Linked DNA regions of Neurospora crassa OR74A. The main gene of each other region encodes a partner of the protein of the gene in region 3 in a complex. Links are inferred from orthologs where the notes say so. Each region holds a gene or a part of one and is shown on either strand. Other genes may lie near its edges. The genes, in order: NCU06469, NCU02804, NCU02757, NCU04068, NCU06749, NCU08299 and NCU00952.

What was found.
Region 1: NCU02757 (region 3) and NCU06469 share a complex: the UniProt entries of both Saccharomyces cerevisiae proteins name them as parts of the mitochondrial large ribosomal subunit. The link is inferred for Neurospora crassa OR74A from reciprocal best matches to the Saccharomyces cerevisiae genes RML2 and MNP1.
Region 2: NCU02757 (region 3) and NCU02804 share a complex: the UniProt entries of both Saccharomyces cerevisiae proteins name them as parts of the mitochondrial large ribosomal subunit. The link is inferred for Neurospora crassa OR74A from reciprocal best matches to the Saccharomyces cerevisiae genes RML2 and MRPL25.
Region 4: NCU02757 (region 3) and NCU04068 share a complex: the UniProt entries of both Saccharomyces cerevisiae proteins name them as parts of the mitochondrial large ribosomal subunit. The link is inferred for Neurospora crassa OR74A from reciprocal best matches to the Saccharomyces cerevisiae genes RML2 and MRPL6.
Region 5: NCU02757 (region 3) and NCU06749 share a complex: the UniProt entries of both Saccharomyces cerevisiae proteins name them as parts of the mitochondrial large ribosomal subunit. The link is inferred for Neurospora crassa OR74A from reciprocal best matches to the Saccharomyces cerevisiae genes RML2 and MRPL9.
Region 6: NCU02757 (region 3) and NCU08299 share a complex: the UniProt entries of both Saccharomyces cerevisiae proteins name them as parts of the mitochondrial large ribosomal subunit. The link is inferred for Neurospora crassa OR74A from reciprocal best matches to the Saccharomyces cerevisiae genes RML2 and MRPL3.
Region 7: NCU02757 (region 3) and NCU00952 share a complex: the UniProt entries of both Saccharomyces cerevisiae proteins name them as parts of the mitochondrial large ribosomal subunit. The link is inferred for Neurospora crassa OR74A from reciprocal best matches to the Saccharomyces cerevisiae genes RML2 and MRPL44.

Annotation. Positions count from the first base shown.
Region 1 is NC_026503.1:1,524,572-1,528,287, reverse strand, and holds NCU06469 (putative mitochondrial 54S ribosomal protein MNP1), read right to left. Parts: upstream 2,145-3,716; 5' UTR 1,927-2,144; coding exon 1,726-1,926; intron 1,459-1,725; coding exon 1,129-1,458; 3' UTR 595-1,128; downstream 1-594. Other genes in the region: NCU06470 (hypothetical protein), read left to right, coding at 1-385; NCU06468 (midasin), read left to right, coding at 2,730-3,716. UniProt on the Saccharomyces cerevisiae protein: Component of the mitochondrial ribosome (mitoribosome), a dedicated translation machinery responsible for the synthesis of mitochondrial genome-encoded proteins, including at least some of the essential transmembrane subunits of the mitochondrial respiratory chain.
Region 2 is NC_026501.1:9,064,178-9,067,536, forward strand, and holds NCU02804 (mitochondrial 60S ribosomal protein L25), read right to left. Parts: upstream 1,806-3,359; 5' UTR 1,614-1,805; coding exon 1,219-1,613; intron 1,131-1,218; coding exon 1,070-1,130; intron 1,009-1,069; coding exon 973-1,008; 3' UTR 800-972; downstream 1-799. Other genes in the region: NCU02805 (diphthamide biosynthesis protein 4), read right to left, coding at 1-381; NCU02803 (pre-mRNA-splicing ATP-dependent RNA helicase prp-28), read left to right, coding at 2,119-3,359. UniProt on the Saccharomyces cerevisiae protein: Component of the mitochondrial ribosome (mitoribosome), a dedicated translation machinery responsible for the synthesis of mitochondrial genome-encoded proteins, including at least some of the essential transmembrane subunits of the mitochondrial respiratory chain.
Region 3 is NC_026501.1:3,455,231-3,459,582, forward strand, and holds NCU02757 (mitochondrial 54S ribosomal protein RML2), read right to left. Parts: upstream 2,718-4,352; 5' UTR 2,334-2,717; coding exon 1,361-2,333; intron 1,299-1,360; coding exon 1,225-1,298; intron 1,161-1,224; coding exon 1,056-1,160; 3' UTR 687-1,055; downstream 1-686. Other genes in the region: NCU02758 (G2/mitotic-specific cyclin-B), read left to right, coding at 4,105-4,116, 4,213-4,352. UniProt on the Saccharomyces cerevisiae protein: Component of the mitochondrial ribosome (mitoribosome), a dedicated translation machinery responsible for the synthesis of mitochondrial genome-encoded proteins, including at least some of the essential transmembrane subunits of the mitochondrial respiratory chain.
Region 4 is NC_026506.1:2,634,165-2,638,839, reverse strand, and holds NCU04068 (mitochondrial 54S ribosomal protein YmL16), read right to left. Parts: upstream 2,945-4,675; 5' UTR 2,760-2,944; coding exon 2,474-2,759; intron 2,256-2,473; coding exon 2,142-2,255; intron 2,051-2,141; coding exon 1,683-2,050; 3' UTR 1,532-1,682; coding exon of another isoform or gene 245-1,531; 3' UTR 138-244; downstream 1-137. Other genes in the region: NCU04069 (3'-phosphoadenosine 5'-phosphatase), read left to right, coding at 245-1,531; NCU04067 (hypothetical protein), read left to right, coding at 3,854-3,947, 4,006-4,497, 4,556-4,675. UniProt on the Saccharomyces cerevisiae protein: Component of the mitochondrial ribosome (mitoribosome), a dedicated translation machinery responsible for the synthesis of mitochondrial genome-encoded proteins, including at least some of the essential transmembrane subunits of the mitochondrial respiratory chain.
Region 5 is NC_026502.1:2,066,125-2,070,000, reverse strand, and holds NCU06749 (mitochondrial 54S ribosomal protein YmL9), read right to left. Parts: upstream 2,538-3,876; 5' UTR 2,195-2,537; coding exon 1,040-2,194; 3' UTR 830-1,039; downstream 1-829. Other genes in the region: NCU06748 (hypothetical protein), read left to right, coding at 1-25, 164-645; NCU06750 (coiled-coil domain-containing protein 25), read left to right, coding at 2,892-2,964, 3,112-3,151, 3,294-3,397, 3,476-3,876. UniProt on the Saccharomyces cerevisiae protein: Component of the mitochondrial ribosome (mitoribosome), a dedicated translation machinery responsible for the synthesis of mitochondrial genome-encoded proteins, including at least some of the essential transmembrane subunits of the mitochondrial respiratory chain.
Region 6 is NC_026504.1:2,487,999-2,492,587, forward strand, and holds NCU08299 (mitochondrial 54S ribosomal protein YmL3), read left to right. Parts: upstream 1-1,605; 5' UTR 1,606-1,895; coding exon 1,896-3,215; 3' UTR 3,216-3,994; downstream 3,995-4,589. Other genes in the region: NCU08300 (uncharacterized protein), read right to left, coding at 527-596, 711-893, 1,002-1,021, 1,106-1,108. UniProt on the Saccharomyces cerevisiae protein: Component of the mitochondrial ribosome (mitoribosome), a dedicated translation machinery responsible for the synthesis of mitochondrial genome-encoded proteins, including at least some of the essential transmembrane subunits of the mitochondrial respiratory chain.
Region 7 is NC_026501.1:6,595,091-6,598,707, reverse strand, and holds NCU00952 (mitochondrial 54S ribosomal protein YmL44), read right to left. Parts: upstream 2,005-3,617; 5' UTR 1,711-2,004; coding exon 1,530-1,710; intron 1,365-1,529; coding exon 1,249-1,364; 3' UTR 683-1,248; downstream 1-682. Other genes in the region: NCU00951 (inorganic pyrophosphatase), read left to right, coding at 1-75, 136-361; NCU00953 (hypothetical protein), read left to right, coding at 2,657-3,006, 3,108-3,617. UniProt on the Saccharomyces cerevisiae protein: Component of the mitochondrial ribosome (mitoribosome), a dedicated translation machinery responsible for the synthesis of mitochondrial genome-encoded proteins, including at least some of the essential transmembrane subunits of the mitochondrial respiratory chain.

The DNA.
Region 1 (3,716 bases), on a different chromosome or scaffold from region 3:
GGAGGATCGTGAGCGGCATAAGAGGCTGAGGGAGAACATCTGGGCGGTGCCGAGCGGAGACGAGCTGGATAGATTGCTGGAGGAGACGTCAGAGTTGGGGGATGACGACATGAGGGCGATATGGGAAGAGCAGGAGGAGTGGGAGAGGAGTTTGCAGGCGGGGATTGGAGGGATTGGAGGGAGTGGTGGTGCGGGGTGTGGGCATACTACCTCTACCAGTAACGGGGGTGAGAGGGATGATGGTATGAATGGGAATAACATGAAGGAAAAGCCAATGTCGATTAGTGGGGAGATTGCCGAGATGGCGAGGAGGAAGCAGCTGCAGCAGCTGGAAAAGGAGCAACAGGAGAAGCAAGATAAAGATGTGGAGATGACTTCGGGTTAGGAAACCGACGGAGGAGAAGAGAACCTGGGAATTCAAGACCAGTAGGAATGACACGGGTGGTGGATACAAGAGGCGCGCTGGTAGGAGTGCGATAGAAAGAAGAAAATTGAAGGAGGCAAGGAGAAGGAGGTTGAGAATAAGAAACAAGGAAGTTACCGATACATGGGGTATGCATGGGATGGCGTTTATGTTTTTGGCTGTTTAGTTATCTTCGGTATCCATAAGCGAAAGTGGGGAGATACTATTAACTCAGAAGCGGCATCTGCTCACGGTAATATCGTCGACAGACTCTCATGTTTTCGCTGACAACCCGTTCTTCTATCCATCCCAGTTCTCGTAGTATGATATAATGTTACATGTTTCATTGCTTTTTGTACACGTACAAGTGGTATATGTTGTTGTGAGGAATCTGTGTCCGCCACTCCCCCCCTTTCCCCATGAGGATATAATGTAGATGAGACCGAGAATCCCCCTTTATGTGTTTCCCAAGGCCCTGGCATTTCTTCCAACTCTGTCCCGTCATGATCATCATTATAGGAAAAAAAAAAGAAAATATCTTTCCGGCATCTGTGTCAGGAAAAGATCTCCTCGTTTGGTTCTTTTTCTGCGGGGGAGGGACGTGACCATCCTACAAAACAACAACACACATACACACACACACACACGGCGCCTCCACCCACCACACCACCACACAGAGACCATAACCATAGCAACCAACCCTTTTACTAGGCAGAAGCAGCAGTTTAGTCCATGGTGACGGTGGCGCCGAGCTCCTTCATGGCGGCGACAATCTTCTCGGCATCCTCCTTTGGTACCGACTCCTTCATGACCTTGGGCGCGCTCTCGACGAACTTCTTGGACTCTACTAGGGAGAGGCCGAGCAGGTTCTTGACCTCCTTGATGACCTTGGGCTTGGCGGCGGCGTCGAACTTCTCGAGCTTGAGCGTGAACAGCGTCTTCTCGGCAGCGGCAGGGGCGGCCTCCTCCTCCTCAGCGGGAGCGGCGGCGGGGGCAGCGGCGGGGGCGGCAGCGGCGAAACCACCGACGGGGAGATCGGGGATGTTGAGGCGGGACTGTTTTGTGTAAAAGAAGAGAGAGAGAGAGAGAGTGAGTGTTAGTGTTGGTGCCCATGTACATGTGTGCGACTTGAGAGTCTAGGTAGTATAAGATAGGTCTGTCTGTCTGTCTGTCTGTCCGGGGCCGGGCCGGGTCGGGTCGGGTCGGGTCCGGGGCGCAAAAACATCCGGAAACCTTGAAACATGCTCCGATTCGGGTTTTGTGTGTCCCGGTTCCCGGCCCCGGTTGTTCTTCTTCTCGTGCTTTATTTAAATCGGGCGTACCTTGAGGCTGGACACAAGCTCCGAGGTCTCGAGGAGAGTCAGGGTGCTGATCTGGTCAACAATGGCGGCGATCTTGGGGTTGGCGGCAGGGGCGGCGGTGGACTCGAAGCGCTTCTGGACGAGGAGGGAGCTCGAGGCCCGGGTGGATGCGCGGAGCTGGCGGGCGGCGCATTGCGCGGCGAAGCGAACCGAGAGAGACATTGTTGGTATGTGTGTGTGTTGGTGGTGGTGGGTTGTGTGGATGGATGGATGGAGAGAGGGGAGTCGGACTCGGACCGGAGGAAGGAAAGAGAGAGGGCGCGCGGGGGCGGTCGGATTGGGGTTCTCTTTTTTTGGTGAGGGAGGCTTGCCGTCGACGTCGACTTCGAGGATCGTACAACCGAACCGTACAACAACTAAACGGAGATATTTTTTTGGGGACGTTGTCGCGCGCTCCCGGGTGCTGCGAAATCTGGGACCCACTACTGGCAGTTGGCAGCTTGGTGGTTTGGGCGTGCAAGTTGGATCTATGACGGCTGGCTGACCCGGAGCTGCAGCTGGAGGGGAAAACCCAAGCTGCCTGCCCCGCGCGAGTCTGGGGATTAGGTACCTCTGTACCTTGAAGTCCACTGAAGACGCGCTAAAGGATGGGCCCCTGTCATCCCAAGCGCGCCCCTGCTGCCGCTGGGCTGTTCGTCCCACCCGGAACTAGGTTCCACTTTTGAAGAAGATGGCTCCCTTGCCTGCCGCAGCCGACTTACACTACACTATGTAGAGTACTATGCAGTACACCCCAGCACATGCGCCTAGCGCTAAGTAGCATGTACCCCGCACTATCGTTCAGCGCGATAAGGAATTTCATGTGGGAAAAAGTTCCAAACGGGAGAAAGCGAAGTTCAATGGGCAAAAAAGTTAGAGATAAAAAAAAAAAAGAGACTAAGAAAAACATCACCGTTTTTCACAACGACGACGACGACGACGACGACGACATCCACGCCAACCCGTCCCGTCGCTTTTCCCTGGCCATGATGGCCGTGATCGATGTGAGCCAGCAGAGGGCGTCGCTCCTTAGCGATGCGACCACCTTGGACCTCTTGCCGCCAGAGTTGCTGCTCATAATCCAGGATCACCAATCGACCAAATTCCTCGATGCGATCGCCAGCGCCGCTCTTGTCTCGACAGCCACCGACCGCATCTTTACCCATTTCGAGTCTGTTTTTGCCGATATTTGCGCCAGATGGATTCTGTCTTCTCCAAAACTCGATACGCGAGTCCTTGCCGCTTTCGCAAGGATCTTGCCCTTCGCCCCGTCGCTGTCCGTCTTCCTCGTGTCGCATCTTCGAGGAGGATCTTTTGGTGGTGTTAATGGTGGTAACCACAACGACAAAAGCAACGACAATGATGCTTCTTCAAAACTTAAACCTCTCGATTCCCTTGACCTAGCTTCGATCCGCCCAGATGACCTCCCAATTGTCCTCCTAGCCCTCTGGAGGCTCAACAACTTTGACAAGCGCACCTACGCCGGCCTGTCAAAGCCATCCCAAATACAGACCCTGTTCGCACACGAGAACCCCATCGTCCGATATCTTGCCGTCCGAATCTTCTGCCAGCTTCATAATGCCGCCGATGTCAAGATCGAAGCCCTCCTCGAAAAGCACATACCCAAAGATACCAGCCTTGTCGCAGAGCTCGACGGGCGCGAAGCCGACTATGCGTTCCTCAGCCTACACGAGGATTCTAGACGTGAAGACATTCAGAGCTCTCGCAGTAAATCCCAACAAACTAGTGCGGTTGACGATGCGGTTGTCGAATTGAATATCACAAACATCCCAGAACAGAACCTCACTCCTCTAGTTGTCAAATATGGAAAGACAGTCCTCCCGCGTCCCCTCGGCCCTGTGACTGCTCCCACCACCCTCGCACTTACCCCGACGACTGTTGAGAACCTCGAGAACCTCACCGGGTGCCTGCAACGACCCGGGCCTATCCTCCTCCACGGCCTGTCCGGTTCC
Region 2 (3,359 bases), about 5.6 Mb from region 3:
AACCATGTCGTCTAGGTCGATGGTGTCGATGCCTGTTTGGAAGTCGTCGTCTTCTTCTTTCCTAGTAGTAGTGAAGCAAGAAGAAGAAGAAGATGAAGAAGAGCGAAGGGCGGCGTCGTATTGGGTCCGTAGAGTGGGGGAGGAGAGGGTGGTGTATGCGAGGGAGATTTGGTCGATTGTGTAGCGTGTTTTTGGGGGGTGATGTCCTTTGGGGTGGCTGTTGGAGTGGCTGTTGGAGGTAGAGGAGGAGAAGTTAGAGGAAGACTTGTCGGGGTGGTGGGTGAGGAGGGCGCGGCGGTAGGCTTGTTTGATCGAGGCGGGGGTGAGGTCGGAGGTGGTGGGTGAGAGGGAGAGGATTTCGTAGAAGGTTGGTTGGGACATCTTGGATGTGTTGGTGGTTTTGCGGTTTGGTGTTCAATGTGGTGTTTGGTAGTGCGGCCCCGGGTATAAAATGGTATGGTTGTGAGACCGGTTTGGTGTTGAAATGTATCGACGTGTAAGTGGTGAAAGGTTGGTGGTTTGCGTCGAGCAGCTTTCGAGAGAAAAGTTTGTATCCCGCAATCACGTGTCTCTTTGCGCTCGCTGCCCTTGTTATGTTGCTGTATACAGTAGGAAATGTGAATAGGCAAAAAAAAGAGGATGTGTGATGTGTCGGTTCTCACGTGGTGGTTTGAGTCTTAGTTGTGTGCCTGGTATCGTGAAGTGAGTTGTTCAGAGAAACAAATTCGGGGGGGAAATTTTACTGCACCGTTAGACACATTACCTCGTCTCGGCCTCCAACCACAGTGGGGAACTCCGTCTTATAAGACGCCAGAGGACGTTCAGTCAACAACCGGGAAACAGAACCACATTGATGGCAATCCCCTTCCAAATGGCTTGAAATTTGTTGTACATTGTTGGTGATGATACAGTCTATGGACATGGCAGTGACTCTCGTTGTAATCTTCCCGACAAGCGACAACAACCGATCGCTTATTTGGGGAACTTGGTCCAGTTCCTCTTGCCGACCTGTAGCGAAGCCCATGGTTAACAAGAGTGCAAACCGCAAGAGTTTGGGCGCAATCCTTACCTTTTTCCATTCCCGGATAAGGTCGGGCATAGCCAGCATGGCCTCTCTCCTCTTCTCCATCCTGTGTGCGAAATCCACCGTCAGCAAACCACCACTTCCTCCCAACCAGCAGCAGCAGCAGCAGCAGCAGCCGAGGATCGACAACGTACTTGGCAACCAGTGTCCTTTCGTGCTTGTGACCCTTGACCTTCTCTCCAACACCGGTACCCTTGACACGGAGACCGAGCTCGACTCTCTTCCGTAGCTTCTCCTCGTTGAGCTTGCGGGTGAAGGGCAGCAGCTCCTCGACGCCGTGTTCCTGGGCCAGCTTGACGAGCTCGGCCTGTCGCCTGAGCGAGTACTTGGGGTTGTGCCACTTTCCGGTGATTGGGTGCTTGGTGGGCATGAACGGGTTCGGGCTCTCCTCCTGGTAGGGCGTCTTGTGCGTCTCGGGGTCGGCGCCGGCGGGCAGGATCGAGGCCGGCGGGTACCGGGCCAAGAAGGTGCGCAACCGCGGTGGGAGCGAAAGCGCCAGCTGGACGTGCTGCTTCACCGTGGCCGCCATGGTGAAGATGTCGATCGACCGGCCTGCTGGCGGTACTGTGTCGGTCGAGGTGGGGGGGGGGGTTGTTTGTTTGTTTGTTTTTGTCGTAGGTGACAGGGTCCGGATTGCTCGAACGAACCGGAACGGGGAACTTTGCGATCAATCGGCCGCCGACGGGACCCCAACTGCGAAAAAGTTCCAGGTCGCGAAACGGTACATAGCGACAGCCGGAAGTTACACTTTGAGCCCTAACCCGACCTCTTTAACCCCCCGCGTAAGGCGGGGCATGTGGAGACCCTTGAACAGGCACGACAGGGATCACCGACCTTGAACCGTGACATAACTTTTGGGCGGGTCGAGAACTGTGCTGCACCGCTGCTGCACCCCAGAACCACCCAAGTTCGCCATAACAACAACCCCATTCCGGAACCCAGCACTGCTTGGAAATCAACACGTTTATTGTCAACACTGTCGCCTCCGACCAGTCTCTTCCTTCGATTCATCACCAACTCCATACACTACCACGATGAGCACGACATCAAGACGGGAACCCCCAGACCTGGCAGCACTGCTGCGCAAGAAGAAGGAGGAAGAAGCCGCCGCCGCGAAACCAAGATTCATCCCCAAAAAGGAACGAGAGAGGCTAGAAGCCGAGAAAAAGGCAAAGGAAGAAGAGGAACGCAAGCGCAAGGAAGAAGCCAAGCCTCAACCAAATGGAACAAATCATAACGGCAACCGCATGGACGGTATCCAGAGTCATCACAACCACAACCCTCAACGAAACATCCCAACCGGACCCAAGGCGATGCGGTACGACGATGACCGGGGACCCAACGGCATGAGCAACGGTCGGGACTACAGAGACAATCGCGACAACAGAGATAACCGAGACAGAAACCAACGGGGCGCAAAACGCGGCGCACCCAACGATGACGAAGAGAAGCGAGCCAAGATGGAGAGGAACGACGAGGCAGAGCTGCGCGCCCGCTACATGGGTCCAGTAGTAAATCAGTCCACATTCTCGGCCAAGAAGAAGAGGAGGAGGACGGCAGCGAACAAGTTCAACTTTGACTGGGATGCCGATGACGACACTAGCCGACCCTTCGACCCCATCTACGCAGAGCGTCAAGAGCCTCTGGTCCGACTTGGTGGTTACGAGATGACGGAAGAGATGGTGATGCGGAAGGCCGAAGCCATCCGTCGTGGCGATCCCGAGACGGGCGAGGAGCGCGCCAGGCAATACCTGGAACAACACAGACGGATCAAGGAGATGGAACAGCGCAAGAACCTGGGCAAGCACTGGTCCGAGAAGAAGCTGGAGGACATGAAGGAGCGCGATTGGCGTATCTTCAAGGAAAACTTTGGCATTGCCACCAAGGGCGGTGCCATTCCCAACCCTATGCGCAGTTGGGAAGAGTCCACGCTGCCTAGGCGTCTGCTCGACATTGTCAAGAACGTGGGTTACGACGAGCCGACGCCGATTCAGAGAGCTGCCATTCCCATTGCCCTTCAAGCACGCGACTTGATCGGTGTGGCCGTGACGGGTTCCGGTAAAACTGCAGCTTTCTTGCTGCCTCTGCTGGTTTACATCTCCGAACTACCACCCCTGACCGAGTACAACAAGAACGACGGTCCATATGCCCTGATTCTGGCGCCAACAAGAGAACTGGTGCAACAGATTGAGAGCGAGGCCAAGAAGTTTGCTACACCTCTCGGATTTACAGTCGTCAGTATTGTGGGTGGTCACTCGCTCGAAGAGCAGGCGTT
Region 3 (4,352 bases):
TTACTAGTTAATGTACAACTACCGATTCCATCGATCCCATTCAATCTCCAGAAGTACAAAGGGGACTGCCCTGAACGAGCGAAACGTTGTGAAATAGTATGTACACTAAAAGAATGGCGTAAACCTTAAACTCTGCCCAAACCACCGAAGAGACGCTTCAAATAGTGTACTCATCACCCCCGTTGATCTTGTGGTATACCTCTATGGAGATGAGACTATGCTTGCCTTTTGTCGACCCTCGTTCCTTCATGGCGTTGTATGTATGGCCGAATTGCGGGCGCATACCGAGACGCTGTCGTGATATGCCCTTACACAGTCAACCACTGTAAAGATACCACCGCTGGAATGCATATAAATCTCGCTGCGCTCAGGTCTACCCACGCGGCTATTTACGCCCCTATTTTTTTTTTTTTTTCAGGATGGCGTTCACAGAACCGGTAGCAGATCTGAAAGGGCGAAGGGGGACGGCATTGTTATTCTGCTCCTTGCAGAAGAGATGAACGCAAAATGTGATTGGACAACTCGACCGACTCCAATGACCAAACGCCTTCAGTTTCTTTCATTGTAGTCTGTTGTCTATAATCAACGCAAAAAAAAAAAAAAAAAAAAAAAAAAAAAAAAAAAAAAAAAAAAAAAAAAGGGAAAAAAAAATTTTTTAATTTTTTTAGGAAAATTAAACAAATTTTATAAGTAAATAAATCAATAAAAAATTTGTTAAGTTGGGGTCGGTATATGACAACGGAGTCTAACAAACCCCATGTGTAGTCTTTGGTACATTCCTGAAGTCGTATGCCGATTTATAGGCACAGTCACGGCCTTGGCCGGGCCCTGAACCACATCGCCGTAGAGTTGCTCAGTTGAAAGTGGAAAACAAAGACAAACACGGCAGATCTCCAACAGACGATGTTATTGGGCCCAATACCCACACATGGCATCCTTCCGGTGATATACTGAGCCCTCGAACTGCCGGCCTGCGAGCAAATGAATAAGTTTCACTACATATTGTACAAGATGGTGGGTATATAGCCCAAGTTGAGCACAGTGGGTTATTTTATTCATGTAGTCTTCTTGTTCCTCCGGACTCCCATGTTGCGGACCCGGGGGGTAACCACCCACTTGTTGACGTTGGACTTTCTGCGAGTCTTGTAACCACCTTTGGCCTACAGAAAAAGAGGGTAAGGCGTCTGTTCAGAGGAAGGAAGGAAATAAAGGGGCATGACTTACAGGTGTACCCCAAGGAGAAACAGGGTGCCTATTACCCTTCGACTTACCACGACCACCACCGTGAGGATGGTCATCTACCAGGCCGTTAGTTGGTTTTGCTCGCTTGACAAACGGATTGTTCTGGGAGTCTACTCACTTGCGTTCATCGCCAAACCTCTCACAGTAGGCCTAATGTTGAGCCAACGGCTTCTACCGGCCTTGCCCAGTTGTCTGTAGTGATGCATAATGTTGCTGGCAATACCAACGGTGGCGCAAGCGTCCTTGCTGACCCTTCTGATTTCTCCGCTCTGCAGTCTTACGTTGACGAACTTGCCCGTCATAACCTTTGTACCATCCTCACGGGTCTCCTCCTCTTTGGAAATAATGGTTGCATATGTTCCGGCACTGCGGCAGAAAACAGCCTTGCCATCCGGACGGGAGCCAACGCAATAGATCTGGGTTCCAACCGGAATCATGGACACAGGCAAGCAGTTGCCTCTCCAGCATGTCCTCGCAGCCAGAATACCAGGATCAACGACACCACCCATAGAATCGAGCAGGTCCTGGGGAAGACCGGACCGGTAGCTCTGCACAACGTCTCCAGCCCTCATACCATCCGCCGCAACAATATAGCTCTTCCTCCCTGTGGCCTCTTCCTTCACCAGCGCAATGTGCGCGCTGCGACCGGGATCGTACTCAATGCGCAGGACTGTGTGCGGACCGGGGATCCATCGTTCAAAGTCGACCATGCGGATTCTTCGCTTGTGACCACCACCGCGATGTCTGACGGTGACGCGACCACTGTGATTACGGCCACCCTTAGATTGACCCTTCTTGGGAAAGGTAAGAGGAAGATACGGCCGGCCCTTCCACAGGTGGTCGTTGATCGGGCGCTTCAAGTGACGGATACCGGGCGTGTGCGGCTTGTAGGTTCTCATCATGCCGGCGTCCCGGACGTAGGGAGTGACGATCTTGGCTTTGGCATCTTTGCTGGTGTTGCTGGTGCTGGTGCTGCTTGCTGATTGTGTGGCGGCCTTGGTGGCATAGCATCTGGCGACGGTGCGGCCCAGCACGGTTTGGGCAAAGGAAGCTGTCCCCGCAAGGAGGGGTCGGAATTGAGGCTGCAGCATGGCTGCTCGATCGCTGTCGGATATCCCAAGCTCCTGGCGGTGAGCTCTGGGGAGGTGAGGGTGCTGGAGGGGACAGTTGCTGCGATTTCCAGCAACCGGAATGCGACGTCCTCGCAGGCTGCTCGTCGAGGTTCTCGTCGCCGGCTTGTCGTCGATAACTGCTTGTGGAAAATTGCTCGGCTGATGCGCCAATCACAGCCGTGCATTGGTTTGCGATCCCTGACGATTGTGGCTGCTAATAGTGTGGCTTGTGTGGTGCAGCCACTGCCCTTTGGTGAAGAGCCTTGTTTCTTTCCAGGGGACAAGTGCTGCAAACAGCGCTCCAAAACGCGGGCGCGGGAGGAAGGCACCAAGTCATCACCGCGTGAAGGTGCAGTGCGGCGCGGGGAAAGAGCGTGCATCGTGCTCCATTCCTGCCCGCCCAAGGTTCCAGTCGCGTCTGACCCAGGATAGGTAAGGTACCTTAGTGTTGACAGCTGCTGGACACGCGCAGCCTGTTGGACAGTTTAAACCAATCAGAAGCTGATTTGACCGAATTGCCCTGCGGTTGCCAGTGTTGCCCTGACGGCGGGCGGATGACAGCAAGGGAGGGACGTGGCCTGTGGTGGCCTTGCCGCCTTCAGTTCCTTCACTGCGTGTTTGAGGTGCGACCCTTCTTTGTCCCTTCTGCTTGCAGTGCTCCATAACAGCGCCCGGCCCAAGTACAATTTCCTGGCCGCTTTCTCGACTCCGGATTCTGCAACTCGACACTCACCATCCGACTAACAACCATTTCCCTGGACGCACGACAATCGACTTTCAGCTACAGCAACAACAGCAACTTTCGACTCCGGCCATTGAAGCCTGCATTTCTTCGGCAGTACAACCTTTTCGACTTGCTTATTCGACAACGGCATCCTCATCATTCGACAACTTAGCAAGGCAGGGAACAGCAAGACGTGCGTCTGACAGAAGCCCATATTGCACGGCGCGTCATCACTTGTTGTGGTAATTTTGTTCCCTTTCCGGTGTCTTGGACTTCAAAGCTTCAAAGCCTCGCTGCACTAGTGACCTCGAAGGGCACTAGAGGTACTTTGCCCCAGTCCCAGCACGTCCGATCCGGTACCTGGGTGGGTGTCCACACGCCCGCTCCGTCCACTGGCACTCCAGCCCCATCCACTGGGCTGCACTGGCACTGGCACCTCCACCAAGACCTCGCAAAAACAAGACTCCCATTCTTCTCTGCCTCGTAAACATCATACCTCCCTTTCCCGTCCGCCAACTAGCATTCCCACTCCGCATCACCTGGACTCGCAAGGCCTTGCCATCACGACGGCAACCCTTGGCCTCGATCAGTCAATCTTTCCGGACGTCGCCATTGCGTGCTTTGCCCCGACCGTCGTCACCAATTGGGCAACATTCCCGATCAACAACAGCACATCCTTCACGGTCTCAGCCAACCTTCTGTTGCGGGACCCAGGGTTGATCTCCGGCTTCAACAACGTGCCGACAGCGACATCACTGCCGACCGCCGGTGTTCATTCTTCCCGACATCTTTGGGCTCTGTAGTCGGTGCGTCTAGTCTCATTGACTGTCCGTGTTCACAATTCCCTCGTCGTTCGCTCGTCGTTCGCGTCAACCCTCCCTCCGTGACAGGGATCGGTCTTTCAATAAGAACCAGTCTCTCCACCTCGAACTTCGCCAAAAACGAAACATCCAAATAGCTAGCTGACCTCCCCGTCAGTAGACACATTTCACATCAATTTCTGTGCCAGCATAGGTTTAGGCGAGAATGCCGAATCTTGTAAGTTTTACTGCACAGTTGGCATTGTCGTTCAATCATGCAATTGGTTGTCCACAGCCATGCTATGTTTGTACTAACTCAACCCCAACCCTGCAGCGGACGAGGAACCCGCGTTCACTCGCGAACGAAAATGACGAGAACAGTACAGCAACCACGACACGTATGACGAGGGCCAAGGCGGCCACTCTCCATGTCGACGAATTGTCCATGCCCGCGAAAACCATGCAGACCAAAAA
Region 4 (4,675 bases), on a different chromosome or scaffold from region 3:
TGAGACTCTCATGTCTGCATTTGTGGAGATAGCGAGCGGTTGGTGGCATTGCGGGGAACCAATTGAAGTGGGAAAAAAGACAAAAAGGGCAGTCATACGTCAACAGCTTCGCCGCTACAGAATCAGTGCGGGGAACATTTGACAGCCAGAATCCCAAGTTCAACCACTCAACAACTTGGACTGAATACGTATTCCGGTTACGGATTGAAAATTCCCCGAGGTTTATCGATCCTCTCGCGGCTGTATGACTGTGGATAAGATCAAACAGCAGAAAAAGGCATCGTCCCATACTTTCTACTCCAAAATTCTCTTCGTTTTCTCCCTCATCGTCCTCATCCTGGCTATCTTCAGTTCCCGCATCTCCTTTCCCCGGCTTTCCCTCATTGCGAGCCATTTGACTGGCAGTGCCAACACAATCACAGCAACCAGCCGCTCAACCATTACAACTACATCTACACAGAAGATGGCCTCTTCCCAGTACGCAAAGGAGCTCGAGGTAGCTCAGCTCGCCGTCCAGCGGGCCGCCCGCCTCACCAAGCGCGTCTTCCACGAGAAGGCCAAGGGCACCGTTTCCAAGGACGACAAGTCCCCTGTGACCATTGGCGACTTTGGCGCTCAGGCGCTCATCATCAGCGCCCTCAAGGCCAACTTTCCTTCGGACGAGATTGTGGCTGAGGAGGAGGCCGCTCAGCTGCGCGAGGACACCCCCCTGCGGGACCAGATCTGGGAGCTCGTCAAGTCCACCAAGCTTGACGATGAGGCTGCCGAGCAACTCCTTGGCGGCGCCATCAAGGATGCCGACGCGATGCTGGAGATCATCGACCAGGGCAACAGCAAGGGCGGCGCCAAGGGCAGGATATGGACTATCGACCCCATCGACGGCACCAAGGGCTTCCTGCGCGGTGGACAGTATGCCGTGTGCTTGGGACTGATGGTGGACGGTGACGTCAAGGTCGGTGTTCTCGGTTGCCCGAACCTGCCTGTGGACGACGCTGCGCCGTTGGCTGCGGATATCGGCACCAATGCGACCGATGAGGGCCGGGGTGTCATCTTCTCGGCCGTTCAGGGCCAAGGCGCGACTAGCAGACCCCTGGGCACCGCCGGTCTTGCGGAGGGCAAGTCCATTGCGATGAAGCCTATTACAGAGATGTCCAACGCCAGCTTCTGCGAGAGCGTGGAGGCGGGTCACTCGGATCAGGGCGTGGCTGGACAGATTGCGCAGAAGCTCGGGATCACCAAGCCTAGTGTGCGCATGGATTCCCAGGCCAAGTACGGCTCTATTGCTCGCGGCGCGGGTGATATCTACCTCCGTCTGCCTACTTCCAAGTCTTACCAGGAGAAGATCTGGGATCACGCTGCTGGAGATCTGATTGTGCGTGAGGCTGGTGGTCAGGTTACCGACGTGAGTGGAAACCGCCTGGATTTCAGCGTCGGCCGCACGTTGGCTGAAAACAAGGGTGTCATTGCGGCGCCTGCTGCGGTCCACGACCAGGTCATCAAGGTCGTTCAGGAAGTTCTCGGGCAGCAGTAAAGCCTCGGTGTCATAGTGTACAGGTTATGGCAGGTATCGGGCCGTTATGAGGCCATGTGTGTGCCAAAAAAAATAATAGACTAAATGTACAATATTCCCCCCTTATCCTCATCAACAACCATATCAGCCACCAAAACCCACCGCGCGTCCTCTATTTGATCTTCTTCTGCTTCAACTTGATGGTCTCGCCGTTGACAAAGATACCCTTACCCTTGTAGGGTTCCGGTACACGCCACCTCCTGATATCAGCGGCGAAGGTCATGACCTGCTCTCTGTTGATGCCCTCAAGCAGGATTCTTGTCGGCTGCGGCGTGCTGGCCTTCATGCCCTTGGGAACGCCCATCTCGACGGGGTGGGAGAAACCGAGCTTGAGGCAGACGAACTGCTGGCCGGGGTATTCCTCCTTCTCGGGGCGGGTGTCGATTGTAGCTCTGTAACCGATACCGACCAAACGCAACACGGCCGTGTGACCTTCTGATACACCCATAATGAAGCGGTTGAGGTACGCCCATGTTGTTCCTGTTTTGTCCAAGAAAGATTCGAAATCGTCAGCTGACTGGCCGCCCGTAACTTTCCACATTCTCCAAGACAAGGAAGGTGTTTGCCATACCCCACATCTCTCTCTGCTCCTTCTCGTCCCGGTTCGCTACGCTGAGGGTCGCTCTCCTTGCCTCGGCGTCGTGGTCGATCTTGATGAAGTCGGGAATGTCCATCTCGAGTTGTCCTGTGAAAAAGCACACGCACACGTGCAACAAGTCAGCCAGCTGCTCTGCTCCCATCCTAGTCCCCTTTGCACTCTCGCGCAAACACCCATAAACAACGTTCTCTCTCGGGCCTCTCCCAGCCCATCTGTTGCGCCCGCTCCAGTTTCGTTGCGTATCCTCAAATAAAACACCCATCTGGTCCTTTTGCCAAGTCGATTTTACAATAGAACAAACTAACCCAACGGGCCCTGCACCGTAATCTTGCGCTTAGGCTGCTGCTTCCACTGCGTCATGTCGCGCTTGACGAAGGGCTCGCCAATGGTGATCTCGACGCCAGGAGGGATACTGAGCGGGGTGCGGCCGAGCTTGGACGGGCGGGTTGTCGTCGCGGAAAAGTTGCGCCGGGCGGCGGCACCGGCAGTCTGTTGGAAGGCGGGCACCAGGAAGCCGGGGAGTGTGACGACGGGAGAAGATGAGGAAGAGGCAACGGCCTCAAGGACCCTCCTTCGGCTTGGGGCGAACATCGTGGTGAGTGTCGTCGTCGTCGGCAGGGTGGTGGCCGTCGTCACGATGCGGAACCGGAATTGGCGAAGAGACGCGGCGCTCCAGTTCGGAGGTTCTGGCAGTCGCAAGGGCAGCACCGAGTCAATGGCAAGCCGGCCGGGTGGTGGGATGAACCGAGTGGATCTTCGGAGAGCTCCAAAAAATGTATCGGACCTGACGCGGCACAGCAATGCAGCTAGTGATTGGCTGTAAATACAACAGGGTTAGGGTCGTATCCGCATAGTCTCGCTGCTGCTATTCGCTTGGGCTAAGAAACAACGACGAACACCAACAGATGTTATTCCATCCGACATCATTCATCTCGAGTAAGAAATCTTCAAAAAGAAAATGGCACAGGGCGTGGAAGTGTAGAGTTTACTCGATGGAACATATTGTTTCACAATATTCAGATTGAATGTTGAATTAATCTCCCGTTCGACAATCGTCCAGCTTTCCGATGACGACTTTACGGATGCCAACCTCACGATAGTCATCACCACCCAGAACACCCGTCACGGTCGAAGTCTTCCAAACTGTCTCAAGCGAGCTGTTTGCACTTTCTCGATACCGGATGAAAAGATGCAGATTCCAGTGATGTCAAGACAAGTGGTCTACAGCCCAAATCTTTGTCTAGGCTCGCTTCTGTTGGAGAGGACAGCGTCACATCAGACGATTAAGAACCAGCAAAAGTCGAGCTCGGCAGACAATCACAGTCATATTCGATGCGAACTTCAAGTGAAGTCATTTCACACGAAACCTTTTCGCGGTTTCACAATCCTGTGATTCTTGTCCCGCTAAATTCAAGTCCGCTTCTCTTATCCTGGGCAGTCGCGATCGCCAACTTACCCTCATACACCTTCCTTCCTTCCCTCTCTTGAATCGCTCCTTCTCTTCAAAAACACCACAGAATTTTCAGTTGCATGGCCACAAACTTCGATCGCCAAAATTGCACTACCAATATTGCCAGAATCTCCATTTCTTACTGCCGAAGTCCCTTCGACGGCACTCTTCTGGACGCATCTGACTTTATCAGTATATCATCATCAGCCTGTCGCATTGCACTTACATGACAACTATGGCCAGGAAGCTTCTCTTCACGGCTCTCTGTGCCGTTACAGCTACACCTTCTCTGGCCTTTTCGTGGGGAGGTGAAAGAAAAGTGGCAGTTCGTAAGTAATATCAGAGCACTGCCTGCAGGGCTTGACTAATAATATGACCGCAACACAGCCGACCATCAAGTCAACATCGACCGCAACATCCAGCCTTCGGATCTGCTTCGAGCGTCCTCACGCCTACCAAATATCTACGCCGTCGCCCTAAGTGAACTTCAAGAACTCGAATCAGAACCGTTTTGCCATCGTGTGGCCGCCCGACTCCTAGTCAACAACTGCCAGCTGGTAGACGGAAAGAACGACGCCACAATCCTCACAGACACTGGTCGGCAAGTTCGCGACTTTGTTGATTCCTACGCTGCCAGTCTAGCGATATGTGATTTGGAGCGAGGCAGGTTCAATATCCCGGCGCAATGTGCCAAGTTCCGTGAACCGGCCCTGAGTCAGATTGCGATCCGGGACCAAGCACAACTCCACGTCAGCAGTCATGAAATCGATCACTGCCTGTCAGCCATGAAGTCGTCAGATGCTGCGTGGAATACGTGGATTAGTTATCGGCACAAGGCCTTGCGGTTCTGTGAGGCGGCCAGAGCGGATAATGAGAAAGGTATGGTATCTAGGTTGAGACGCACCGTTTCAGAGTCGTAGCTGACAGTGATTTACAGCACAAAACATTCTCCTCTATCAACGACTCACGAATGTGATGAAGAACCTTACAGAAGGCGTGGAAGCTCAGCTTCAGAAGCAAATGAATCGACTTGACCTGCGGACACAACAGTCCATGA
Region 5 (3,876 bases), on a different chromosome or scaffold from region 3:
AGGCGAGCTGATCGTGAACTTCCTGGTATGTTCTCCCCGTGTCTCTTCTTCTTCTTCTTCTCTTCTCTGTGTTCTGTATTTCCTGCTGTTTCCGCACCCCAATTGAGTTCCTTAGTACCATGGAAGTTACTGACCCCTCTTCCCTTTGCAACCACAAAAACAGATGTCCAAACCTCCCGCTTCCGCTGGTCCCGCACCTTCCCCATCTTCTTGGGCATCGTAGCCGCCACCTCGATCGCAATCTTCAACTACCAGAAACTCTCTTCCCCCGTGGTCGAGTCAACCCTCTATGCGCTGCGCACGAACCAGCGCGCGCGCGAGTACCTGGGTGACGAGATCTACTTCAAGGCGCAGATTCCGTGGATCTCGGGCGAGATGAACCAGCTGCACGGCCGCATCGACATCAAGTTCAATGTCAAGGGCACCAAGCGCACGGGCGTGATGCGCTTCGCCAGCTTCCGGCCCACGCCCCGAGGCATGTTCGAGACGACCGAGTGGAGTCTGGAGACGGAGGACGGCAAGGTCATTGACCTGCTGGAGGAGGGCGATCCGTTCAGAGCTATCAACGGCCGTGCGATGGAACCTGAGCTGGATGATGATGCAGAGGATGCGAAGGTCAGGGGTTTCAGGCAGATGCCCAAGTAATTGTTTTGGGGTGCTCTTAAGGAGGGAATAGTTTTGAAAAAAGGGAGGATATATATGGGAACCGGGGAAGGTGGTGGTCCCCCTCTCCCCCTCTCAAACAGGATGAGCTGAAGGACAGGATCGTGGTCTGGCTCTCTGATTGAATACCCGAAGGCTGTCAAGGAGGAATATGTGTAAGATATAGGGAGAGAACATACGAACCTATCACGGGCAAGGGTTGTATGTTCAAGTTGTTATACATTTTCGGTAGCTGTACATTTTAACACCCCACGATGCGTGTGTATCATACAAGAGAGAACTAAAAAAAATGAGAAACCGGGAAGGCTTTACCATACATTCCCTTCCATAAACCTAGTACAAACACATACTACAGACCAGAGACAGCCCCCCTCTCTTAAGCCGAAGCTTCTACCGCAGCATTTCCATCCGCCTTCTCTGTCAGCCCATTCTTGATGAGCGAATCTATCAGGCCCTGTCTCCTCGCCTCCTTGAGCTCCAAGTGCAACTTCCTCGCCGCCTGCAACTTCTCCTCCGCATCAGGGAACCGCTCGTTGAGGAGCTGCTTGGTGGCCTCGACAAACTCCTCCGGGGGAGGAGCCTTCTTGACAGCATCCTGAACCTTGACAACCGCACCCTTGTGACCAGCGACCGCGCCCTTGACCACCACGATGCCGAGCTCGTTGTCCACCATCAGAATGGGCAGGTTCTGGACCGTGTGCTGCTGCGCGCCCATGCGACCGGGCATCTTCTTGCCGGGCAACACACGCGAACCGGAGCCCTGCGAACCACCGACGGAACCAATGGTACGGTGGTTCAGCGAGTTACCGTGCGACGCCTCCTGACCGGCGAAGCCGTGACGCTTCATACCACCGGCAAAACCCATACCGCGCGTGATGCCGCGCACGTCCACCACCTGGCCGACGTGGAACCAGTCCGGAAACAGCTGGACGCCGACCGGCAACAAGCCGTCCTGGTTGCGCACCTTGAACTCGGCGAGCGTCTGCTTGGGCGGGATGCCCTTGGCCTCGTAGTAGCCGAGCTGCGGGGCGCCCACGTTTTCGGCGCGGCGCTCGCCCAGGCCAACCTGGACGGCCCAGTAGCCGTTCTTGGCGCGCGTCTTGTTGGCGACGACTTGGACCCGGTCGAGCTGCAGAACGGTGCAGGGGATGCGGGCGCCGGTGCGGCCCATGAAGACGGTCATGCCCTTCTTGACAGCGAGCACGCCGGTGCGCAGGGGTGTAGTCTTCTCGCGGCGCTTGAGGGCAGCGGCCGGGCCCGAGGTGGGCGCCGGAAGACCCTGCGTCACTTGGTTGAATCGTGTGGGCCTGCTGCGCTTCGGGAGCGTGCTCCAGCCGTACTTGACGCCGCGCTTTGTGATCTGAGGGAGGAGGGAGGGAAAGACAGTCGATGGCGAGGAGGCGGAGAAGGTGGGTGTGGTCCGGCCGGCGAGGAGGAGGGAGCTGGCGGCGGCGGTGGTTGTGGTGTGGGTGGCTGACCTCTCGACGAGGGAGAGCTGCCTCCAGCAGCGCGCGGGCAGCCGGGGCGCCATCGTGTATGTGTATAAGTCTGAGGGGAGGGTTGGGTGGTGTTGTGTTGCTTTTGGTGGGGTTGGTCGCAGTCAATTGGACCTGACGGTGTTCGTTGTATCGATGTCGGGGCCCCGGAGCGTCGAGTGGGGGGAATGGAAAGGACACCGGCTGTCTTCGAGACGCGAACCGGAGGGGGCGGAGTTGGGAGGTCGTTTCGGCGCGCGGCCGTTGAGGTGGTTTTGGGGCGGGTGCGGGAGTGGTGGTCGCCGGCTCGAAGCACGGAGCAGCAGAAATTTGATAGCCACTCAGAAATTCAGTAACGGGATGCTCCCCCCCCGATAACGTCGATCGGTTCGGCATCCGGGGATTCACAATTGACAGGGGAGGGGCGGCTATTCACAGGCGGGTACTATGTATTTGGCGGATTGTGGTGTACAGAGTGTGACATCTCTACAAGAAGGGTTAGGGTTAATTGCTTCTTTCTATTCACTTAGGTAGTTTTACTTCCGCTGGAGTGCGGGCGCATTTTACCGCATTGGATCCCCCAAACTCAACCGCTAAAACATCTTCACTCGAACCACCACCACACAGCCCCAGAGAAGAAATCGCGTTTTTGCATCTTGGTTTCCCTTCTTGCACGAAGTGTCTTTTTCATTGTCGCCGTTTTGAGATACCCAATATTCCCATCTTTCATTTCTTCCAAAGGCATCAGCAACCATGGTCTTCTATTTCACTTCGACCGTCGTCAGTCCCCCGGCTTTCATTTATGTGGGGAAAGACAAGTTTGAGAGTACGTGAAGATGATCATCAGCCACAATTGGTGGTATTCTGCATCTCCTTGTGGAATATGCATATATCTTGACACACTCATGGACATTGCATATTTGACTTGGATATAGATGTCAGCTCGTCACTCATCTAACATGCTATTTTATAGACGAGGAGTTGATCCAACACGGCTGGGAGGAGGATGTATGGTAAGTTTCACCCCGGCCAAGCCTAGTTCGGCATTTTCTAACTATTCTTCGTAGGGTATGACTCCCCATGAGGTTCTCGTCATATTATGCTCTGTTTCTCATTACTAGGCCCTACTTAGTTCCATGTCGACAAACTTTCCAGTGCTCATATCTACCTCCGTCTCCCAGAGGGTTGGACATGGGAGAACATTCCCGAGGAGCTCCTGACCGACCTTGGTCAGTTGACCAAGGCCAACTCCATCGAGGGTAAGTTGCTGCTTTTGAATTCTACTGTCAGGAAGTCATGGGGGAATTCGTGAGGACTAACTCTGTGCTTTTGTAAAGGTAACAAGAAGGACAACATCACAATCATCTATACCCCATGGGCCAATCTCAAGAAGGACGGCAGCATGGCGGTCGGCCAGGTCAGCTTCAAGGATCAGAAGAAGGTGAAGCGCATTTTGATCGCGCAGCGCGAAAATGCTATCGTCAACCGTCTGAACAAGACCAAGGTTGAGAAGCACCCGGACCTGCGAGAGGAGAAGGAGCAGCATCTCAAAGAGCTGCGCAAGAAGGATCAGGCGGCGGTGCTGGCGCGGAAGAAGGAGGAGGATCGCCTGAAGAAGGAGCGGGCCGAGAAGAAGTGGCAGAAGGATCATGCCTACGATGAGCTCTTTGCTGAGGAGAACATGATGAACTCGAGCAATCAGGATCGGGATGAGACCTGGGAGGATGATTTCATGTAA
Region 6 (4,589 bases), on a different chromosome or scaffold from region 3:
CGGGTCCCAGGTCGCCGTGTCCGCTGTCTTGATGCCGAGTCATGAACCGACCGAAAAGCTCCGCACAGCCAGGAACTGAGGTCCGCCGAGGCCCACCTCGATTAAATAGACAGTCGAGGTTTCCACAGCAGCTTACCTTGTTGCTTGCGTTTACACCAAAACATGCGAAGAACATTGTTAAGGCATGTTCACGATTCAAAGTCATGGAAGGTGGGCTCTTCTCTGTGAGTTCACTAGTATTCGCCAATAGTACGAAACGGTAAGAATAGAGGTAGTTTCCTCTATAATCCATTACAGAACTGATCCACATCAAAGTTAGCTTTATTCACGACGTAGCCAGGCTCTGGAGCACCAACGCAAGACGGCCAGCGGAGGGTAACCGACGTTGAATGTATTCCGAATATTGCATTACTACCACCAACCGGCCGGCCTCAACCAAGCCAAGATGTCCTGTTATTCCATCAAGCCTTTGGAAGCCATGTACTGTATGACCAAACGGCCGGGGTGGCAGGGCCTATGCCCAAATTTACTTTTTCTCCTGTGTCGTCCCGTTCTCCTTTTGCGCCCGCTCATACTCGATAATCTGTCTGCTCCAGCTAGTGGAGGTAATATCGGTTGCGTCAGCTTAAGAACATCCCCGCGGTCTGCGCTCGCGGAAAACGTTACGCATGTATAAAAATTTGGATGGGGGTCTGTCTGCCAGGACATACTATCTGCTGGGATAAAAGCGACCAGGCTCGGGCATCTTGTGACGGTACTCTTTCTCGGCGCTAAGCTTCCAGACTGCGGCAGTGATGAGGAAGACGACGCCACCGAGAACAGCCGTGTTCTTCTTCCAGTTGGCCGGCTGGGCGTACCAACCACCCGAAGGCGACCAGACGTGTTTGGGGTAGCTGGAGTGAAGGGCGAGGCAACGATTAGGACGGATCCATGACACAACGCAGGCTGGGTTGGACAGAATGCGCGGAGGGTTTGCGCATGTCGAGGGCGATGAAACTCACGGAACTTGGGGACCGCCGCCCTATAGACAGGAAAAATAGAGAGTTAGCAGACACAAAACATAGTAGTGATGATGGCTATTCTAAGCAATCGGGTGGATACGCACCATTGTGATGAAGTTTTGGGATATGTGGTGAGGTAGGTTGGACGTTCAACGAGGAATGATTCTTTCCACCTCGCAGTTAAGCAAGATCGGTTTGTACTGTCAACTTTGCGATGCACTGCGAACGACGGCACAATAGTGGTGATGCTTCAGCGGGAACAATTGGATAGAAGGACGAATGATGAATCCGCCTACAGGCTGACGAGGGGCTAAATCGCATCAACCATCCAGGCCTGAAAGTCACCATGTCACTCGTCCTAACTGGGGCCGAGGGCGCATGCGACAGACGGGCGGCGGGCGGCGGGCGGGCAGCTCCCGCTTGTCCACCACAGTGCACCGTATGCTAAACAGACAGCGCAGATAGTGGATTGGGGTCGAAGATGGATCTTGTGGGGACCCTCACTGGGCCAACAACGAATCATGTCAGCCGGCTTTTATGTCTCGGTCTTGGGGGAGTAACCCCTGCGCTTGAGCACTGATTCACGGCTCTGGGTGGTGGGCTTGTCTAGTGTACGGGTGGTGAGCGTTCAGATTGGAGAACTTTTTTTTTCTACCCGTGTTCGACGGCCGGCCGAGTCTGAACGAGAACCCATCCGATCAACGCGCGACTCCGACCGGGATCCCGAGTAGCTTCCCACCCCGCGACCACCGGCTCACCACCTGCCCGTCCGATTTCCCTCACTCCATCCTTTTCTTGGCAGGGCCTCCAGACGGCGCACACTTACGGAACCTGGGCCCCAGCACGTCAACACCCGGTTGTCGAGCCGACCATCACCCATCAAATATATCGCCCATGAAGAGGATAGCAACGCCCAGCTTGACGAGCCGGCTGCTCGTCGCCGCTCGCTCCGGAGTGTCGCCCGCCACTGCCGCCATCCGATCCCGATCTGCAATCTCGGTGCGATCGCAATCGACAGCTGCCCTCGCTCAGCACGATGCATCCCACGATCTCAACAATGATCGGTTCCCCCCGCTTGAGCCCCTCCCCCCCGCGGCCGAGTCCCTACCGTCGCCCCTCCCCGAACGGGCCTTGACCTCGGCCAAACTGGCCGCCCTCCACGCCCGTTTGAATCTTTCTCCCAAGATCCCCTTACAGACATTGGCAAGGACACTGGTCGACGCCTCGGCCGACGAGAACCCGCAGTTCAACAACGCCAACCTCGCCTTCGTTGGCCAGACCCTCATCAACTACCATATTGCCGAATGGCTCCTCTGCAAATACCCCCGTCTACCCCAGGGAATTCTCTTCAGTGCCATGAAGGCTTATGCCGGACCGAAGCCCTTGCTCCAGATTGCGCGGTCATGGGGTGTTGATACCGCCGCGGTGCCCGGCGGCGAGGTGGATCCCGGTCTTCTGCAGTTCGATGCCCTTAAGCCCGGCGTCGCCATCACAAATTTCGGCTACAAGCGTACAGAGCTCGCCTACCTCGAGAAGTTCAAGTGGCGTCGCGGTATGGCCTCGCGTGTCGTTCTCGACGACGACTTTGGTGATGTCGTGCGCAGCGACCCCAAGGTTGCCGCCGATCTGGAGAAGGCGATGGAAGAGCAGGATCAGGACAAGACTCCCGACGAGGAGGAGGCCGAGATGGTCGCTAATGAGCAGGACCAGGACGTGAGCTACGACCGCTACGGCAACCCCGACACCCGGGCCGCTGCTGAGCGGGCCCACGCCTACTTTGTGCGCGCCGTCGTCGGTGCCATCTACGCCCACTGCGGCCGCGAGGCCGCCAAGGCCTTTGTCAAGGCGCACATCATGTCGCGCACCCTCGACATTGCCAAGCTCTTCGAATTCAAGTACCCCACCCGCGAGCTCGCCGCGCTCTGCGCCCGTGAGGATTTCGAGCCCCCCGTGGCTCGTCTCCTCTCCGAGACGGGTCGCCAGTCGCGCACCCCCGTTTTTGTTGTCGGTATATACAGCGGCAGCGACAAGCTCGGCGAGGGCGCCGCCTCCTCTCTCGACCACGCCCGCTTCAAGGCCGCCATGAACGCCCTGAAGGCTTGGTATCTCTACAGCCCTGGCGAGAACCCTCGGGTACCCAGTGATATGCTGGAGGAGGGTGCCAAGCCCTGGACGCCAGCATACATTGATATGGGTGAGGTTATCTCCCGCTAAATGAGGAGGCTGAAACACGGAGCATGGCGGCGGACAGTACGGCAGGGCAGTAGAGAACTTAGGAAGTGTATGAAACGAAAGGTAAAAAGAGAGTCGCAGATGGCCTGCTTACACTCTCGGTTTTATTGGTTGTGCGGCCCATCAACTCGGGATAGGTTCCCCTTGTGGAAATCGACGCAAGAGGATCGAGAGGGAAACAAAACAACGAGTGGATTTTGTTGGTGTGGTCTAAAAGCTCAGCTTACCTTTCCACTCTTGTCCTGTCCTGTTGAGAGCGGGCAATTTCCGTCCTGCGAAGGAAGGGGATATTAAATGGATGGTCCTCTCCCATCCAGTCACTCCCTTTCCTTCCATTGTTTCTTGCTCTTTTTGCCAAAGACGAGATGTTGTATACAGATTTGCGCGCAACGGACATACATGTACACACACGCACACCCCCGCCACATATACCAATACAAAGGGGGGTTGGGACGGAACGGGGAATGAAGAGGGTCTGGATGGTGGCTGCTTGGCTCTGCTTTCGACAAAGAGAGACACAACCCTCGTCGGGGTGGCATCTGTGTCCTTCTTTCTCAGTGTATAATACCAAAAAAGTAGCCGAGGCCAGGGAGAAGGAAGATCATCGTCTGTATGTGTAGCATTAAGAAGTCAAATTTTTTACGAGGCATCAACGAAGTACATGACATGATAAATCCTTCCTCTACGTATTGACTGCTCTGGCATGAGGAGAAGGCTGTGTAAGAGAGAATATGGTACTACGCAATTTACACGCATTGTACAATTCCAGGATGTGTAAGCCCTTGTTTTGTATAACAAGCATCGTAAAGGAAGAAATGGGAATACGCAACCGGCAAGAGTAAAAGACCGGACGACGAGATCGAGCCTGGAAGTTCCTCCCAAGCTTGCGCGCCTTCCATTCATCCAAACTAGAGGTTGTTTAGTATCTATTTTGCCTTGTGCTTTCTTCACATTGCTCTTGTTTATCTTATACGTGAGAGGAAGATGAAGTTGGTGAGAGGGGAGATGAAATGTGGACTGTTCTCTCTGTAGTTGCGTCCTCACTTTCTCACCCCCTCCTGGTACTTTGTCACGACGTTTCCAAAAACACGTTCATCAGAACTTGCGACCTGATGCAAAGGGATCAATGAAGGAGACTTTGACAACTATAGAATTGGCATATTGTTAAGGTACAGTGGTCTAAGATAATAGGGTGCACCAAGGAGAACATGGAGTGCGCGTAGGTTTTCTCCTACTGGTTAAAAAAACACACATTAAGTTTCTGTTACTCATCTCTTAATCTCTTCGGCATTGTCTATCCTCTTCATCCTCATTTTGGGGTATAACCATCCGTCATCTCATTCATCGTCATCCATC
Region 7 (3,617 bases), about 3.1 Mb from region 3:
GTTCCGTATCTACAAGATCCCTGACGGCAAGCCCGAGAACCAGTTCGCCTTCACTGGCGAGTGCAAGAACAAGACGTGAGTTTTTTGTACCGCTTTGTCACCGCAACTGCTACATTGGCTAACAAATAACAACAGGTACGCCATGGACGTCGTCCGTGAGTGCAACGAAGCCTGGGAGCGTCTCATCACCGGCAAGACTGCCCCTGGCGGTGTCTCCACCACCAACGTCACTGTCCAGCACTCCAGCAGCCGTGTTGCCCCTGACCAGCTTCCTCCCCTCCCTCCCAACGAGAATCTCCCCCCTGCCCCTATCGATAGCTCCATCGACAAGTGGTTCTTCATCAGCGGTGCTTCCGCTTAGAGAGTTCGTTTGTTGAGGTAGAATAAAGATAATTTATTGGCACTTTGTTGTATTGGTCAATTCGTCGTGAACAATCCTCCATGGTGTTACCCTCATGCGTTGTTTTGCGTAGAGTCGAACGTCTTTGCAACAAGGTATGCGCGGTCAGAGATTGGCCATTTCTGAGGCTGTAGTCCATGCCGTGGGATAGGGACTTGTCGAGGAGATGCTCGACATTCTTGCGCCATGAGTTTCGCCGTTGAAATATACCGATACCGTTGATGAATTCCCCATCGAAGGAAACACGGTCGCCAAAACAAAAACAAAAAAAAAAAAAAAGGCCGATCTCAACTTTGACTTTGTCAAAATGGGCGTACCGTGATGTGTGTGAATCAATCCATGGCAGAGGTGCTATATACGCATGTCTATAACAACAGGTACCCAAACTGCCTTGCCAACTGAAAATCGCCGGCCCCTTAACGCCTCCCAATGCTGTTGGTGTACACTTACAACCTCTTGCCCAATACAAATACAGGTTCATATCTTTTGTTGTTGTTTTCTTCTTTTTGGCTGGTAAGGCGATCTTACAGATCTCTCAGAGAGGTCGTCAGGTATCCGGCTCCAAGCTCGCTGGCTTTACCCAGGTGATTCGAATGTGCCTTTAGATATCCAGACTTTTCCTCTTCTCCTCCCGGTCAATCGTCATTTTGGTACCACGGACCAAAGCCAAGTAGTCTGGGTATCAAGACAAGATGGGCTTTCGTCGCTCTTCCCGTGGCTTTTCCCTCCTTTTTCCTAGTCTCAGTCTCCCTCGTTTTACCCGCAAAGTTCGATTGGTGGATCAAAACACAACAAGGGCGTCTCGAGATTGCTGGGTTTTGAAGAAGAAAAGAAAGACAGAGATTCGGTTAACCGTCGTTCAAGTCGGCCTGCTTCTGAAGGATACGAGAGTGGCGATCCACCTCCTCGACAATGCTTTTGATGCCCATGTTCTCAACGTCGAGGTTCATTTCCTTGCCGTCCTCTGTTTTTTTTCAAATACGTTAGACTACGGCTTGATTCACAGCTAACGACTCTTGATTGCCTTCCAGCCGGAATGATCCAAATTGCAACAACCAACTGCAACGGCGGTCCGTCGATGTGTGACAGAGTTGCAAGTGACAAGAAGAGAGACATTGGGAAAACGTACTGAACTTGACGTAGAGCAAAGGAGTCTCGGTGGAATTCCGCGGCAGAAGCTGGGTGGTGATGTTCATGCCATTGGAGCGGGCGTTGGGAGGGAGGAAGGAGAGGAAGAGCCGGGCGGCCTTGGCCTTGGCCGAGAAAGGGTTGAAGCGCGTTGATACGTCGGTGATGAAGCGGGTGAGCATGTTGGGCGAGGTCTCTCGGGTGGTGGTGGTGGTGACCTGAGGTCGTGTTGGGGTTGGGTTCGGGGAGGAAGAAGAAGAAGAAGAAGAAGCAGGAGGAACGCGGAGGCCTGACTGCGACTTTGCGAATTTGCGACGACGGGACTGCACTGCACACCGGACGGGGACGGATACGGAGACGCGGGAGACGGGAGACGGGTCTCTGTGGAGGATCGGACGGGGTACGTAGCTTGTGTGTCGCGATTTGGACTTCGATTCGGTCTTCGTGCCTGGCGCCGGCCGGCAGCGTGGAGGAGGGATGCGATCAAAAATTACTGGAGGTACGTACCGATTGCGCCGGGGACCGGGAGGGGTGTTTTTTGTAAAACGGAGAATGCGGGACGGCGCGTGCTACGTGTGAGAGATGGGCTGTGATTGGTTGGGAGCCAACTGGGATCAAACGGTGTCAGGCTCGATTTTGCATTCATATTTACACTACATCAGATCAATTGACATAATACATCTTTTTAATCTTCTGAACGGGAAGAGAATCACTTCTGGCCTTCTATTACATTGTGTTAGTCTGTAGCCCTGAGTGTGTAAGTTTGTGCTTTGTTCCTTCAGCGCAACAGTACGTACTCCCATTTGCCCCAGCGAGTTGTAACTTGAACTCCGTTACCGAATTCCGCATGTGATCCGTTTTCATTGACCTTGAGGATGACGTTGCAAGAGCCACGCCCACCGAGAACTTCCATTGAACATCGCTACAGTGCTCTCCTTTCAGGCCAGGTTTCCACTAATTATCAACAACAGCACAGCTGCTGATCAACACCAGGTACCTAAGTGGGATCCGACTACGATCCATGGAAACCATTTGTTACACATCCACCTTTTTCCAACACATATCTATCTACCTTTACCGAGTCAACTCCCTACGAATGCAATACCGACATAATACAACAAGTCACTAATGTCAACATTCGAAACGCTTCAAGAGCGGCTCACGGCCCTCCAAGAGACGACCGGCCAGCTTAAGGACCTCATCGAGCGTCTCGCCACGCTCAAATTCGAGCCCGGTTCCGTTCCTTTGAGCAACAGCATCAGCAGTCTCGCGAACACTGGCGCCGATGGAACCACCAACAGTGAGGCCGCTGACTTGAGCGCCGAAATCAGCCAGGTCTTGCGCGAGGAGGAGGAGGATTTGGAGTTGCTGCAGGAGGAGATTATCGACTTGCGCTCCGGCCGCCCAGGGAGTGAGGCGGAACATCAAAAGACGAGGTTAAAGGAGGGCGCGCAACGCTTGGCTGCCGAGCTTAAGGGGTGAGTTTTGTTTCTCATCTTTTCAGCCTGGATGGTGATGACGATGATGAAGATGAAGATAAACAACGTACCTAACAAAATTGCGTCTCAAAAAAATACAGCTGTCGAACCTCCTTCCGCAAAGCCCAACTCGCGGCGCGCCGCAACCTTGAAACCGCCCAGCGCCTCGAGCGCCAGCTCCTCTTAGCCTCCTACGTTGCCGTCGCCGCCAACCTCGCCGCATCAGACCGCGGATCAGGCGCCTCAACACCCGTATCTACTGCTGCTGCCCCCAGCGGTGGTGCTCAACCAACCTCGTCGACGACGTCTCCACCCCCTCTCTCAACCCCCGCCGCCGCCGCTTCGTCAGATGCTCCTCCTCTCGACCCCCGCCAAGCCCTCTTCGGCAACCGCCGTCGCAAACAGCACCAAACAAATCTACCCCCTTCCCACGACTCCGAAGTCGTCTCCGCCTCCTCCACCGTCACGGACGCCTTGCGGCGCACGCACGCCCTGATCGCCTCCGAGGTAGCCAAGTCCGCCTTCGCCTCCCAAACCCTTGCGGAAAGCACCGCTGCTTTGAAGGAACTGCAACGTAGCTACGAGGGGATCGACTCCCTTCTTTCACGCTC